Linked DNA regions of Alligator mississippiensis. The protein of the gene in region 2 purifies or fractionates together with the protein of the main gene of each other region. This does not show direct contact. Links are inferred from orthologs where the notes say so. Each region holds a gene or a part of one and is shown on either strand. Other genes may lie near its edges.

What was found. Proteins that work in one complex are often made in the same cells at the same time.
Region 1: the proteins of TLE1 (region 2) and HES1 purify together in Homo sapiens (affinity purification with western blotting; 4 studies listed by BioGRID and IntAct, with this or other methods). This does not show direct contact. The link is inferred for Alligator mississippiensis from reciprocal best matches to the Homo sapiens genes TLE1 and HES1.

Annotation. Positions count from the first base shown.
Region 1 is NC_081830.1:88,907,773-88,914,780, forward strand, and holds HES1 (transcription factor HES-1), read left to right. Parts: upstream 1-4,952; 5' UTR 4,953-5,148; coding exon 5,149-5,445; intron 5,446-5,523; coding exon 5,524-5,611; intron 5,612-5,686; coding exon 5,687-6,183; 3' UTR 6,184-6,447; downstream 6,448-7,008. UniProt on the Homo sapiens protein: Transcriptional repressor of genes that require a bHLH protein for their transcription. May act as a negative regulator of myogenesis by inhibiting the functions of MYOD1 and ASH1.
Region 2 is NC_081826.1:201,770,862-201,778,850, reverse strand, and holds the start of TLE1 (transducin-like enhancer protein 1), read left to right. Parts: upstream 1-4,949; 5' UTR 4,950-5,388; coding exon 5,389-5,412; intron 5,413-5,732; exon of another isoform or gene 5,733-5,805; coding exon of another isoform or gene 5,806-5,820; intron 5,821-6,096; coding exon 6,097-6,197; intron 6,198-7,989. UniProt on the Homo sapiens protein: Transcriptional corepressor that binds to a number of transcription factors. Inhibits NF-kappa-B-regulated gene expression. Inhibits the transcriptional activation mediated by FOXA2, and by CTNNB1 and TCF family members in Wnt signaling.

The DNA of each region.
Region 1 (7,008 bases), on a different chromosome or scaffold from region 2:
AAAACTCCCTGCTTGTTCAGCCATGATGATTTACGAGCTTTTGCAGTTTGCCGACATGCCAGCGTCTCCTTTCTGCTGGATCTTCTTGTCAGGAGTGGATCGATGGCTAAGCAGCAGAGCCAAGGATATGTCCCGTGCCTGGGACCCAGAAGGCAGCAGACCCCAAAGGGTACAGCGTGAGGTTGCATAGCAGCTGTTTTGTCTTGGCCTGTGTTTTAGACAGGCAAAGTGTGACAAACACACTTTTTGTAGGGCCCTCTCTCTCAGACACCGCGGTGCACCATAGCTTTAGCAGTATTTTGGCGGCAGGCTCCATTGCCCTGCAAGGTTCAGCGCGTGATGACAGCTTTGAGCTGTGAAAGTGACAGCTGCCGTCCAGTTCTTGTCACCGAGGGCAGTGACGAGGCCTGGGAGAGGTCGGGAGGGCAGCGTGCACGCAGCAACAGGTGGCACAAGGAACCGCCAGATTTGGGACTGTCCCTGCCCAGGGGCTGCCTGCCTGCGCTGGCTATGCCCGCCTGCAACACGGGTGACCGACCATATGCCCCTAGTCAGAGGCTGCTGGGTCGGGAGTCCTGGGGTGTGTACAACCCAAGGCTCAGCCTGTCAGAAGCCAAGTGCACACCTTGCTCACCCCGGGTCCAGTGGAGCGGGGTGCCAGGTGAGGACGGGTGGGACCATCCTGCAGAAGCACTCACATGGTTTCGGGGCCATTTAACACCCCATGCAGCTGCTGCAGCCAGGGCTGGGATCTCCATCTCATTGCCCAGAGAGGGGCTTGTGCCCACCCGGCAAGCTGTAGGGGGGTCATGCTCACAACAGTCCCTCCATGGGGCGCCCCTGAGCGGGGAATGGCAAAGCAGGAGCTGGCAGCACCAGGCCAGGAGCTCCAAACCATCCAAGCCAGTGCCATGTGCGCAGGCTGAAGCACAACGAATGCAGCGCTCAGGGCCAAGCCCTGGGAGCAGGGCCCAACTCTCCATGGGCCACCAGCCGCCCGGGCCCTAGCGCCAAAGCAGCAGTCGTGCCATCTGCAAGTGCTGCCTGCCGGCTGCAGCAGCCAAGAAACAGAGGACGAAACAGCAAGAAACAGAAACGGGGCCAGGCCAGGAGCGCTGACTCCAAGGGGCAAACCCCTCGGATACCCCAGCCTGCAGGGACACGTGGGGCATGCAGTGAGGGGTTTGCACCCGCGTGGACATCCCCAGCCAGCAGAGATGAGGCCCTACATGTAGGCAGTGCTGTGTCTCCTGCTGGAAAGGTCCTGAAGATTGCAGTGATGACCCAAGTCACCAGAACAGGAGCAGCCCAGGCCACACCAGACCAGACCTGCCTCGATGAGCGCTGGGAGCAGGCAGTGACACCCTCTGCAAGAGGCGCCCTTCCAACTTCAGCATCGCTCCAGCCCTGAATCACAGACGAGGGCTGAAGGGAGCTCAGGAGGCCACATCCAGTCCAACCCCCTGCTCTGAGCAGGACCAGCCCCAACTACATCATCCCAGCCAAGGCTTTGTCAAGCCAGGTCTTCAAAACCTCCAAAGATGCAGATTCCCCAACCTCTCTGGGGAGCCTGCTCCAGCGCTTCTCCACCCTCCTAGGGAGAAAGTTTTTCCTAATATCCAACCTCAACTTCCCTTGCTGCAGCTTGAGCCCATTGCTCCTTGTCCTGTCATCTGCACCACTGAGACCAGTCCAGCTCCATCCTCTTTGCAGCCCCCCTGCAGGGAGGTGACGGCTGCTATTCAATCCCCCTCGGTCTTCTCTTCTGCAGACTCAATCAGCCCATTTCCCTCAGCCTCTCCTCACCAGTCCTGACCCCCAGCCTACAACCATTTTCCTTGCCCTCCGCTGGACTTTCTACGTGTCTACATCCTTTCTGCAGTGGGGACCCACAGCTGGACACAGGACTCCAGATGTGGCCTCCCCAGTGCTAAACCCTGTGTCCAGCTTTGGGAATCCCACACCCGGCGTCACCACTGCCCTCGGAGCAAGCCCCCCCGGGGCAGGCCTTCCAGGGGCATGGATCTGTGCATCAGAAAGGCTGCTTTTTTTCTCCCACCACCTGTTGGGAAATGCAAGCCTTAGGTCTGGCCTGCAGCAAGGCCTGGGGGCTCAGTCCTTCCTGGTTTTCAACATGGGGGCAGTGGCCAGCGAAGGAAGGGGGGATGCTCCCAGAGCTGCAAAGCAGCTGTGCTCTGCATGTCCCTCCTGCACGACCGCCCGCTGAAGGGCTCTTTCCTCCACCACTGTCAAATCATCCCGTGCGCAGACTGGCGGGGCTCGTCTCCACCCCAGGGTTGTTTTAAATATTCCTGCTAAGGCCTCCAGTCTGTCATCAATTATACGGGCCTTCCCCACCAGGGCTAGGCGGAAAAGGATCGCTAGCTGCCACTTCCCTGATTCAGCCTCTTGATCTCTTCTTTACTAAAGTGTGTCCAAGCCTCTCACTGGCTGCAGCATGTGCCAAGTCCTGCTCATCTGGACCCAGACACGCTGAAGGCTGCTATTTGCGTTTAAGTCCAAAGTCATGTTGCTGAATCAAAGGAAACCCAGATTTGTTCCTTTCTGTAGTTTAACACATGCCTCCCTCCCTCTTTTCTTTTCTCCTTTTCTTTTTTTTCCTTTGTAGCGGGGCTGGCTGTGTACACAAGTGTCCGCAGGGATGAGAGCTTTTGCATTGGTGAGATCTGCAAACATGTCTCCTCTTTCCTGGACTTTATTTTTCTCACGGTCTCTGAAAAGGCAAGATCAGGTGATATGTGTGGGATTGGCTCTGCACAGGTGCAGATCAGGTACTGGAGGAGGAGGAGGAGGAGGAGGAGGAGGAAAAACATTGCTGTGTGTACTCAAAAAGCAAAAGAAAAAGAAAAAAAAAAGGCTCTGAATAGGCCAAGGCTAGTTCTTGGCAGGGTGACTCAGGCTTAACTGGCAGACGATGGGAATAGGAGTGTGAGAAAGTCAGTCAAGCAGAGGGGGGGGGAAAAAAGGCTCAAGTCCTCAGGCAAAATATTTTTTGAAGCTAACCCCACAAAACCTCCCAGCTAAGGCTGGAAGCCACGAAGGGGAAGCAGCCCCGTCCCCGCCGAGGGCGGACGCTTCCCGGAGCGTGCCCGAGCACCGGCTTCTTGGCTGGTTATAAAGTAAACACTGAAGCATGCGAAGCAGCAAAGCGTTTGCTGATGAGAGCAAACGGAGAGGAGCCGCTGGCCTCGGTCACCGCCGCGGGTGCCAGGAATCCACCGCCGGAGGATCCGCTGCTTCCTCTCCAGATGAACCAGCCCAGCTGGGCCCGATCCTGCCCACCTCCATGCTGGTGCAGGCCTTGGAGCCGGTGGCGTGACACCAGGTGACTGTCGGGACAATCCAGCCCCCGACCCGAGCGGTGCAGGGGACCCTGGCTGGAGATATGTGGGCACAAGCAGCACCCTGGCAGAGGGGCAGGGGAGGGGGCACCTCTGCAACCCTCTTCCCCACACAGCCCAGCATCAGGGTGACCTTTAAGGCTGCCAGGACCCAACTCCCCTGCCATTCATGACCAGGTTTTTTTTTTTGGTGCCTGTCACTCCACGTCGACAAAAGCTGCATTGTTCCTTCCAGCCGGAAAACATGACCGGGCTCGGCCTGCTTGCAGCGTGTGAAGATGTTTCCCGCAGACCAGCCCCGGGGCAGGGGCCAGCAACCTCCATCCTCATTTCGTCGGCGCTCGCTTCTCCAAGCCACATGAGCCTCAAAAGGGTAAACAGCCCAGTGCAAACAACGGCACGATCCTGTCCTGACAGATGAGTTAATTACCTGCAAAATAAGAATTTTCCGACCAGTCTCTCGGCCTCCTCTCACGGCAAGGAGCAGTCATCTCTGCCCATGCTGAAGCGGTTGATGGTGCTGTCCTGGCCCTGCTTTCGTCCCATCGCCGCGGGACGATGGCCCTGCTTGCAAGCAACAGGCTGTGCTCTCCCAGGGGGGAAAGGCCTGTTGGGTTAGGAAGCCTTGGAAGGGCCTGAGCCAGTTGCCCTGCACCCCCAGGTACTTCGGGGGGGATGAGCAGCACCCAGCACCTTGACAGACCAGACCCCAAATGCTGCGGCCCTCCAGAATAGACGCGGTAGCCATAAGGGGAGAGTCCGAGGCGAGCGGGGCTCAAGCAGTGTTGCTCGAGCTGTTTAGGCTGGGGGACCCCTCGCTCGGCTGCAGCAGAGCGCCAGCTCCTAGTGCGCGCTCCACGTCGGACCGAGTCCCCGAGCGATCGGAAAGCCCCGGGCACCTGGCCACACGCTGGATCCCGCGGAAACCTGGGCAGTCGTGTTCGCACACCTCGCCCTGCCCGCCACCTTGTCACCGACACGTAGAGAAGCGGGGCTGGAGGGGAGCTCCAGAGGTCACATCCAGTCCGGCCCCCGGCTCGAGGCAGGACCAGCCCCGTGCAAACCAGCCCAGACAAACCATCTGTCAACACAGACCTGCTCCCACCAAACCTCCTCCACGACCACCCCAGGCCCCAGGCCGAGGCTGTGTCCCTGCTGCAGAGGAAAGCAAGCCCCTCCCCAGTCCGGACCAGTGTCACCAGGGGGTACAAACCCTTCCTGACCCCAAATACAGCACCAGGCTGACCCTGAGCGCGGCGGCAAGACCCCCAGCCAGGACCAGCGGAGCCCTGCCCCGGCCCTGCCCCCCGACACATGGAGCAGCAAGGCCCGGGAGCGGGGACACCCCCACCCCGTGTCCGTGCACGCCGGGACCCTGCAGCCCAGCTCCAGCCTGGCCCCGCGGCCGGCGCGCGGGGGAGTGGTTTTCCCAGGCTCGGGCGGCAGCTGCTCCCGCCGCCCGCGGAGCCTCCTCCCGGCACGTGCCCCGGCCCCGCCGCCGCCCCGCTAATGACCCCCCGCCGGCCCCGGGGGGGCCGGCGCGGCAAGGGTTAACCCCGGCCTCGCACGGACGCGCCGGCCCGCGGGGCCCCGAGCCCATTGGGCGGCGGGCAGCCAATGGGGGGGCGCCGCTCGCGTGCCCCCCGCGCCCATTGGCGGAAAGTGACTGTGGGAAAGAAAGTTTGGGAAGTTTCACACGAGCCGCGCGCGTGCGGCCGCGATATAAGACCCGCGCGCGGCTGCGCCCGCCGCACTCCGCCCGCCCGCCCGCACCCTGCCCCGCACCATGCCCGCGGACCTCGCCGGCAAGAGCTCCGCGTCGCCCGTGGCCGCCGCCCCCGCCAGCGGCAGCGCCACGCCGGACAAGCCCAAGACGGCGGCGGAGCAGCGCAAGGTAAGTGCGGCTGCCCCTGCCCCTGCCCCTGCCCCACCTCCTGCCCCGGCGCCGGCGCCGGCCCCTGCCCCTCATGCCGCCCGGCTCTTGCAGTCGTCCAAGCCCATCATGGAGAAGCGGCGCCGGGCGCGCATCAACGAGAGCCTGGGCCAGCTGAAGGCGCTGATCCTGGACGCGCTGAAGAAAGACGTGAGTGCCCCCCCCCGCCCCCTCCCCGCCGCCCGCGGCCCCCGGCCCGGCCCCGCGCTCACGGCTGCCACCCCGCAGAGCTCGCGGCACTCCAAGCTGGAGAAGGCGGACATCCTGGAGATGACTGTGAAGCACCTCCGGAGCCTGCAGCGGGCGCAGATGACCGGTGAGCGGGTCCCGCAGCCCGGGGGGGAGCGGGGTGGCGGCGGGAGACCCTTTTCTAACTGCCCCCTGCTCCTAGCCGCGCTGCACACGGACCCCGCGGTGCTGGGCAAGTACCGCGCCGGCTTCGGCGAGTGCATGAGCGAGGTGACCCGCTTCCTCTCCACCTGCGAGGGGGTCAGCAGCGAGGTGCGCACGCGGCTGCTGGGCCACCTGGCCAACTGCATGACCCAGATCCACGCCGTGAACTACCCCCCGCCGCCACCACCGCCGCCTCCCCCGCTGCCCGCCGCCTTCGGCCAGCCGCTGGCGCAGCTCCCCGGCGGCGCGGCGCCCCTGGGCGGCATGCCCTGCAAGCTGGGCAGCGCCGCGGGGGAGCCCGCCAAGGTCTACGGCGGCTTCCAGCTGGTGCCGGCGCCCGACGGCCACTTCGCCTTCCTCATCCCCAGCACGGCCTTCGCGCCTAGCGGTGCCCTCGTCCCCCTCTACGCCAGCGGCCCCGGAGCGCCACCGCCGCCGCGGCCGCCCTCCACGGCGCCCCCCGGCCCGGCAGACTCGGTGTGGAGGCCCTGGTGAGCCTCGCTGCCGGCACCGGGGCTCGGACTGAGACTGGGACTGAGACTGCTCCAGGAGGGGCACGCGTGGGGCCGCCTCTGTGCATAGCGCCCTGTTCCCGTGGGATTGTGCCTTGGCCAAGCTAGAGCGGAGCCCGGCGTCTCGCCTGCTCTTTTGTTTTGTTCTTTTTTTTGAATGTGACACCAAAGATCTGTTTTTTCTTTCTGATGCTCTTTGACAAATAAACGCCCGCCTTCCTCTGTGGAGGGAGCGGGGAAAGACGGAGACCGGTGCCTGCTGCTGCGTGTGCCCCGGCTCCTGCAGGGCTGGGGCTGGCCCGCCTGGAAGATGCAGTCCCTGCTGCGGTAGCAGCGTTTTGCTCAGACCCACGGACCAGGAGCTCCTCTTTTTCGAAAGCGCGGACAGCATCCTCACCCAAAGTCCCAGCCCCATCCCTGGGGAGAAGCAGTGGGAGCCACTGCAGCTGTGGAAAGGACAAACCTGCCTCCCCCGGGCTGCGGCATGACCCCGAGCGGTGCCACCACGGTCACCGCACCCAGAACCATAACCTTGCTGCGTGGCCAGCCAAACCTGCGCCGCTGACTGCCAGGCGTGGGCCTCTGAGCCACCTCACCCAAGGAGCCCCGAGGGTCAGAGTCCCGCCTGATAAGGAGCCTGAGGCCAGCCGGGATGATTAACACCGGGCACGTGTTTCTGATAAGGCAGCGTTTCCCCAGCCCCGGTGCAGAAAGCACGTGGTGTGGGAGGAACAGCGGTGCTGTGCTGTGCCCATGACCCTCCGATCCATGCCCCGGCAGGCAGTGACCCCTTTGACTTGGTCATGCC
Region 2 (7,989 bases):
TTCTTCTGGCCACCGTACAAATTGTTCCTGAGTATGGAGAGTTTCCAAAAGACCTAATTAGCAACTCACTGCAAACATTTCTTTGCATTAGCTAATGATCCGGCTACACTTGTAAGCAAACAGTACCAACATATCTAATCAATGCAGAAAAACCAACAGAATGCCTATTAAACATCTGGATGTAATTTTCTAGTTAGACTTCGAACAAAATGAAAACATATGCAGGTTCTTTTGATGTATGCTTCAACAAAGAAATCGTTGATAAAAAAAGCGTACTGGCCAGTCAATGTGTCATTTTCATAAAACCTGGTCATTTCTCTTCAAATGTTCCCAATTTAATTTTGTTGGTTTCCTGCAATCTCTAATTTTACCATATTGTGTGAAACCGCAAGAGATTCTTTGGATCGGATTTTATTTGAGGTTTTACTGCTGCATGATCTGCTACTGATTTTTTTTTTCCTACTTTGACTTGGAGAATTTTTAAGGGTGAAAGGCTGGGAGAAGGTAGTATAAAGCGTATGGGAAAATGTCCTGCTGGAATTTTTCAAACATTCCTGCACAACAAAAATAAATCCTAATTTTAAAAGAAATCAAGTAATGAAAAATATTCACAACAGTCTACCCACATCATTATGTATAGATAAGGGTGAATCTTAAAACCAATTTTTTTTTGTGCATGTTGTCATCATAATTACGCCTCTCACAATGTAAATCTACTTTATTGCATTCATTCTATGGCTTAGGAGCTTTTTGGTCTCTGTGTTTGCCATCTTGCCATGCTGTATACTCATTTAAAAACATCTTTTAAATACACAACTCCTCTTTCTTCTTCCATTAAAATACAAAGAATTCTAAATCCAAAACTTTAAAAATGTAAAAATTTACTGAATTCAATAATTGCTCTAATTGCATATCTTTTATCACTCCATTATCCAGATCTCAGAAAGTGTTTTTTTTTCCTCCCTGTGATGTCTTGATAATTAACCTCATCAACATTTTATTACAGGGTTTTTGTCGCTTTGTAGGAAGTAAAAAACAAACAAAACTCATCCATGCAAACTGGTAGGAACCAATAATGTCAGCAGTAAATGAACTAGTGCACACGCATGCCCGCGCACACACTCACACACACACACACACACACACACACACACACACACACACACACACGGTAAATGGAGCACCATAGCATTCCTCCTTTTCCTAACAAAGCAAGCTGCTGCATCTGAAACCTGATAATACATTCAGACCATACTTTGGACCCAATTCTGTTTTGTTTGTCCATCAAAACTCCCACTGACTTCGATATTTAGTGTAGGATTAAGCTCTAAGTTGTCTGAGGTAAGAACATTACATTAGTATGCTCATGGGGAAAAACTATCAGACTTCAAATGGAAAGGTGGACATAATAATGAATCAGAAGGTATTGTGTAGTGGAAGTATTTTAATATGTAAGGCAGATTATGTTTACTATATATTTGTTTAAATCATAAGAAAAGGGTCAAACAGATATTTGTAATGCAGTGTGAGGGATATTATTGTGTATTTATTACAGGATGACATCCAGAAGGAAATATTAATTTAATGGGAAACAAACCCACTTCTAGGAAATCTGGTCCAGGTTCCACTTTTAGAAATACTGAGTCATGCCATGGACTCAGGTGGAGTTAACTTCAAAGAAACTACTCCAGATTTACACTGGTACAATCAAGAGCATATTTTGGGCCTCCATTATCAAACTATGATGAACTGTAAGAACTGTTAAACATGTAAAGAATTAGTCTACATTATTTTTAGATGTTTGTAGCTACTCCCTTAAATCAAAAAGCCTCCATATGCATGGTTCTACTCCTGCTTTTACAGCTCTTCCCTTCTGACTTTGATAGAAGAGATTCAAAATGCTTTCAAGTTTCCAGTCTCAGTAGGTTGAAAAGCATTTGTTAAATGAAACAAAGAAATGTTAAAGTGTGCCTTGAAAATTTTAAGCATGCTAAATATACAGTGCAAAACATTTCAGCTTTCGTGGAGGGAAGCAATTACAAAACTACTTCTGTTTATGCCCCGAAATAGACTGTTGTTTTAACATTGTATCTGTTTATATTTTACTAGCAACTTGTGCCATCAGGTTAAACATAGTAGAACCAAACTTGGGTAAACTGCCTGTATTGTTGTTTCAGGTTGCCTAGTTACCAGGTTCACAGACACCTTATATAATCAGAGTTTGCATTTTATGACACCTTTCATCTGAAGATCTAAGTGATTCATAAGAATTAATTAAGTTCTCAATACCTCTGTGAAGTAGGTAAATAGGATAATACCTATTTTATACATGTGTAGGCCAGTGCATGGAAAGGTGAACTGACTTGTCTAAGTAATGCAACACATTGCTGACAGAGTTGGGAAAAGAACGCGGGGAATCTTCACTCCAAGGCATGTGCCTAAATCAGTAAGGAAATTCACATTCTGGTGACTCAACCACTGCCTCCCAGAGAGAAGCAAACCTGTGTTGACTGCCCTTAAGAAATAGGTGGAAGAAGAGAATCCACTTTCTTACTTGGGTAACTGTATTCAGTTTCAGACCTCTGGGGCCGTGGAGAAATTCAAAATTCATCATGTGTTCTGTCAAATATTCATAGGCAAATGCGGAAGGCTTCCTCCTCCCCTGTCATTTTTACGTTGGCGATACTGGGAATAATAGAGCATAAATGTTCACACTCTGAACTACACCAAGTCAACATTTGCTTGTATTTAGGGACCTAACGATTTCATTCACATCAAGCTTTAAACATAATCTGTTCTTCTTTTAAAATATAGATTGAAGTCTGATAGGATTAGGGATCAATAAATGGCATACAAATTTAAAGGGAAGAATAAGAAAACATTTGCTACAAAATTGCTCTTTTTTAATGACTTCCTATAACACCTTTAGGTAAAACATAAGGCCTGAATAATAACACTTAACATTTTGAAAATGTGGAAAGCTACTTATGCTACATTATTCAACTCTGTTATGAATAAGATGGTTGGTAATAGAGGATATGTTTTGAAGTTTACTTCCCATTACAGGCTGTGTCACTATTTGGCATGGCCATAGTCACATACAGAGCATGTGGAATTTATTTGACCCTGCTCTACTTCAAATAGAACTATAAACTATTTATAGTAGTGGAAGTTTCTGGCTCCTCGGCTCCAGTGGAACCCTCTTGTAAAGAAGTCAATTTTTCCCAAAGGACAACTTCAGTCCTTTCTGAGGGTCACTACCGCTGCGGTTTGTGCATTGCAACGCATTAAATCAAGCTGGCACTTTTCATCCTTTGTAATGATAGTTTCCCTATTCTGAGTACATTATCAGCAGGTGCACTTATATCTGCATGGAACCCATAAATAAAATATGGAGAGGGGCCACATATGCCTGCTTGCATTAGATGTCAACTCTTTGGGATGAAAACAAAAAACAGCGCAGGCCAACTCACGATCAGATCCTTGTCCTCTGAGGCCGTGTCTACACAAGTGAGGACGTTTGATTCCCCAGGGACAAGAAGCAGCCGCACACCTTGTGTGGTTGCTACTTGCCCCCAGGGAACGCCCGTGCTAGATGCCCTCTGGCAGGTTACCCTGGGTGGGGTACAGGAAGCTGGGATCAGCAACTTTGCTGGCTCCAGCAGCCTTACCTGGGGTCCTGGGAAGCTGCAGCCATGGCAGCCCTGCAGCTGGGAACCTGGTAGCCAGAGGGTGGCTCCGGCCTGCCAGGCTCCAGTTTTTGGGTGGCATGCATTGCCACCACATGCACCACGCTGCTTTTTTTCCCCGCACAGATTTTTTTGACCCTGGGATTTCACCAGATCAAAACCTCCCCCCTGCCCACACACTGTAATGTAGCAGCACGGGTAACACCTGAATGTGCCATATATGGCGCCGCAGACCCCCACACCCCATGACCGTGCTCATCTGGATGCAGCCGGGGGGATGTAATTACTTGCAATGAGTATAAATGAGAGCAGAACGGGGCTGATTTTTGTGTGTGCGTGTGCACCATTTGGGAATTGCCTCTGATGGGCTCTAATGGCGATAAGGAAAAGCAAGTGGGATTTCAAGTCAAATTGCACGTGTGTAGACAGGGTACGAACATAGCAGTGTCCTTCTCCACCCACCCTGCTGTGCCACGCTCCTCGGGCCCCTGCTACCTTGTGTATATCACACAACCAACTGGGGAAGAGCGTGTCATAAATGCAGCTGGGCCCGCAGGGTTAAAAATGACCAGCCAGCTGTAGAAAGAGCCAGCGGGCATCAAGTCAGGGCTGGGAACCCTGTTGCAGCTTGACTTAATTAATTATTTTTAAATAAATTTTTATTTCTATCTTATTTTATAAATAAATAAATAAATAATTTTATTTTATAATATATTTTATTAATACATTTTTAAATTAATTTTTTTTTAAATTTGATTCATTTTTTCTTTATTATGATTATTTGAAGGTGGGGCCGGGCCAGCCGCCCCTGTGAAGGGCTCTCTCCTGCTTCCCAGCTCTGCTCCGCGCCTGGACAGCCAGGTCTGAGCAGAGGTACCCGAAGCAGGGCTGACCCGGAGCCTGGGACACGGCTCATCCCCCGCCCCCCCCGCCGCGAGAGAGCGGCACAAAGCGGCGCCCAGCGCGCTGCTCCCGCCCCCCCTCCCGGCGCCCCCACGTTACTTTGATTGACAGCTCAGCCTCTCCACCGACCTTCCCCTTCTCCCTGCCTCTCGGAGAGTTCCACTGTCTCCTATTGGTCGGCCCGGAGGGGTCCGGGCCGGCCCCGCCACAAACGCTTTCTTGGTGGAGGCCGGGCGAGCCGGAGCGAGCTCTGGCGCCGCGTTCGATTGGGCGTGACGTCAGAGCCCCACGTTGGCCCCCGAGGAGGCGATTGGTGGCGGGCGCGGCCCCGCCCCCCCGCTCCTCCCGGGCGCCGAGCTGAGTGCGAAACCGCGTGTTAATGCACCGAGCGCGGCCGAGCGAGCGAGCGGGAGAGACGGGGAGCGCGGGTTCGGCCAGGGCCAGGCGAGGGGAGCCGCGCTCGGCGCCCGGGGGGACTTGCGCGGCGGGGACGATGCCGCCCGCGGGGTTGTGCTGAGCGGCGCCCCGCTGCTGCCGCGTGGCCGAGGAGCGCCCGCGGGACCCGCTCCCTTGCTGCCCGCCGAGACTTGGCCCGTCCCGCGGAGCAGGCGCCTGCCCGCTCCGCCCGCCCGGGGCCCCGCTGCCCCGGCGGCGGCGACAGCAACAAAGGCGGAGGAGGAGGAGGAGGAGGAGGAGGATGCCCTTGGCGCGGGGGCGCTGAGCGGCGCTGCGGGCGGCGGCTGGGGCTACCTCGCCGAGGACTGAGCTGCGGGCGAGCGCGGCTGCGGCCAGAGCCATGTTTCCCCAGAGCCGGCATCCTGTGAGTAGCACGTGCCCCGGGCGGGGGGGTCCCCTCATCTCCTGCCCCTTTTGGACTGGGGTCTTGCTCCCCCTCTCCTAGCCCGGGCCCGGGGGGGCGGGGGTTGAGTTCCCACCACTCCGCTCCCTTCCCTTCCCTCCCCCCCCAGCCCAGAACCCCTGGCTGTGCCGGGCTTCCTGTCCCCCCCTCTTCCCCTCCCTTTTGTTTCATGTCTAACTTATTTGCATGCAAATGACAGGGGAGGGGAGGGGCTGCCCTGCCCTTGGCTGCCAGGTTGGCTCCTTCTCCCTCTCCACTCTGCTGCAGCCAAACTCAGCCGGGGCTGGGGAGTTGTCTCCCCCCCTGGCCTCACGTGTAACTGTGGGGAGGAGCTGGCCCCTTGCCCTGCCTGGCATGGTGGTGACAATTGTAAGGGGGAGGGGCTGGGGGAGTTGTGGGCATAGGGCAGGGGCCACCTGGTTTGGAAAGGAGGGGGAACGAGTAACAAGTGCGAGGGGAGGGAAGCAATGGAGCTTGGCAGGCTGCTCCCTCCCAGTGCCCGTCCCACTAGCTTTCCTGGTGGGATGCTGCAGAAGGGACCCTAGTTGACAGGATGCTTCAGGGAGCTGGGCTGTGGTCCCTAGCGTGCCCTGCCTGCTTTTGTTTCAAGGTTTTCTTTTTTTTTCTCTCTCTTCTCTGCCTCAGACGCCGCACCAGGCTGCAGGTCAGCCCTTCAAATTCACTATCCCGGAATCCCTGGATCGGATCAAAGAGGAGTTTCAGTTCCTCCAAGCGCAGTATCACAGGTGAGTCCTGCCTGCCGGCTTCTTGCCTGCTCTCTCTGCATCAGAGAATTGGGCCACATCCTGCCTCGAGGAGGATTTCAGGCTGGTACGCAGTGTGCTGGCTAGCAGGGTGTGTTTCTTTCTCTCTTGCTCTGTGCTCACTGGGGGAAAAGCAACTGCCGTTTGTATTTGTCACCAGATGGTGGCGTGCGGAGTCACAGATAAAGCCCTGTCATTCGCTCCTCTCTCTACTTGCCATTGTTTTCACTGTTTTTGCTGCTGTTAGATTTGTAGAGAAGCAGGGCCAGAAGGGACCTGCAGAGTTTGTGGTCCAACCCCCCTGCCTGAGGCAGGATCATCCTTATCCAAATCATCCCATGCAACAATGTCCGGTTGAACTTTTATTCGTGTGCGTTCAAAGCTTCCTGAGAGCTGTCAATATTTGTGTTTTCTTTTGCTGATGGGCTAGGCTGAGAACAAGCAGGTCAGTGGATACTCTTGCCCCATCCTTGCACTACTGAGTTACTGTTGAAGTAAGAACTTCAAGTTCAATAAGATGTCAGGTATCCGGGTTGTAGCCTTATTGGTCTAGAGGCAAAAGGAATCGGGACTCATGGTAGAGGTGATCTCTTATTAGACCAACTAGATTTTTGCAAAAAAAAATTTCTTTAATTGCTCAGTTAATTTAAAAGTTCAGTAAGAGGCAGTGTAGACTAAGGATGTGGGCTGGGAGTTGGGGCTAGCTTTACTATGCAGTGCGACCATCTGTAAAATGGGGAGACTGTTTGACTTAGCGTGGTCGTGTGAAACTTAACTCACCTTTGTAAAAGTGTGTTAGAATTCTTGAGTGCAAAACCTTGGTAAGGGCAAAGTAAATTGAGAGAATATCCAGTCTAACTTGGTAGCAGGAAATATTAAAGGAGCTAATTCTCATGGTAGTTTGTCCTCTATGGTGTGCATTTTTAATGAAAAGATCAAGGAAATGCCAGTAATTGGTATGTAAACAGGGGATGAAGATTATTTTATTTTTTTCTTTTTTAAGAAAGCAAACTCATCAGAATACCACTGAAAAGATGACTTAAATCTACTGAAGCAGTCATTAATGGCTGCTCTCCCAGCCTTGAAGCATGCTGTTCTTAGTTTGTATACTTTGTGCCAAGGTCTCTGTGTGTATATTGAGGATCTGCTTCCTCTCTCTGCATGCACAGCACTTCTGGCATTAACAGAGACTGTGTTCTTTGGCATGCAGCTTTATCTTGTTATAGTGTAGAGATGATCTATATAGGGTTCTGCATACAAATTCTCTTATTTCTTGAAGACTTTGGTTAGATATTTTGTCTTGCGTGATCTTGTGGTCTCTGGGCCTTATCTGTAGATGAGCACTGGCTTATCAAAAAGCCCTTAATTAAAATTGTGCAATTCTTAATGTAAACTACATGTGTATGAATAAAAAGTTGAGCATGCACATTCACCACTTGTTAAAGGTTGTTTTCTCGCTGATATATATTATTTTAAGTTGACCGTTAGTCCCTATCTTGAAGCAAATAATATTTTGATTTTAACAAAGGCATTGGAATTGGTTATGTGAAACTAGTTTTTATTTTTATTCTAAGTTTTTTAAAGTCGAACTGACTTTTAAGTAATGCTTAAAGCCAAAAATAGTCATGTTTGACCCAGCTAAACAGTCAGATCACTCGAAATAAAGGCTTAGAACCAGAACCTAAACAAGTTTATAGAAGTAGCTGTGTCAGTAATTCTTACTTGTTTTACTTCCTTTTCAGTGCACGACTGTAGCCCATTAGGAGTTAAACTG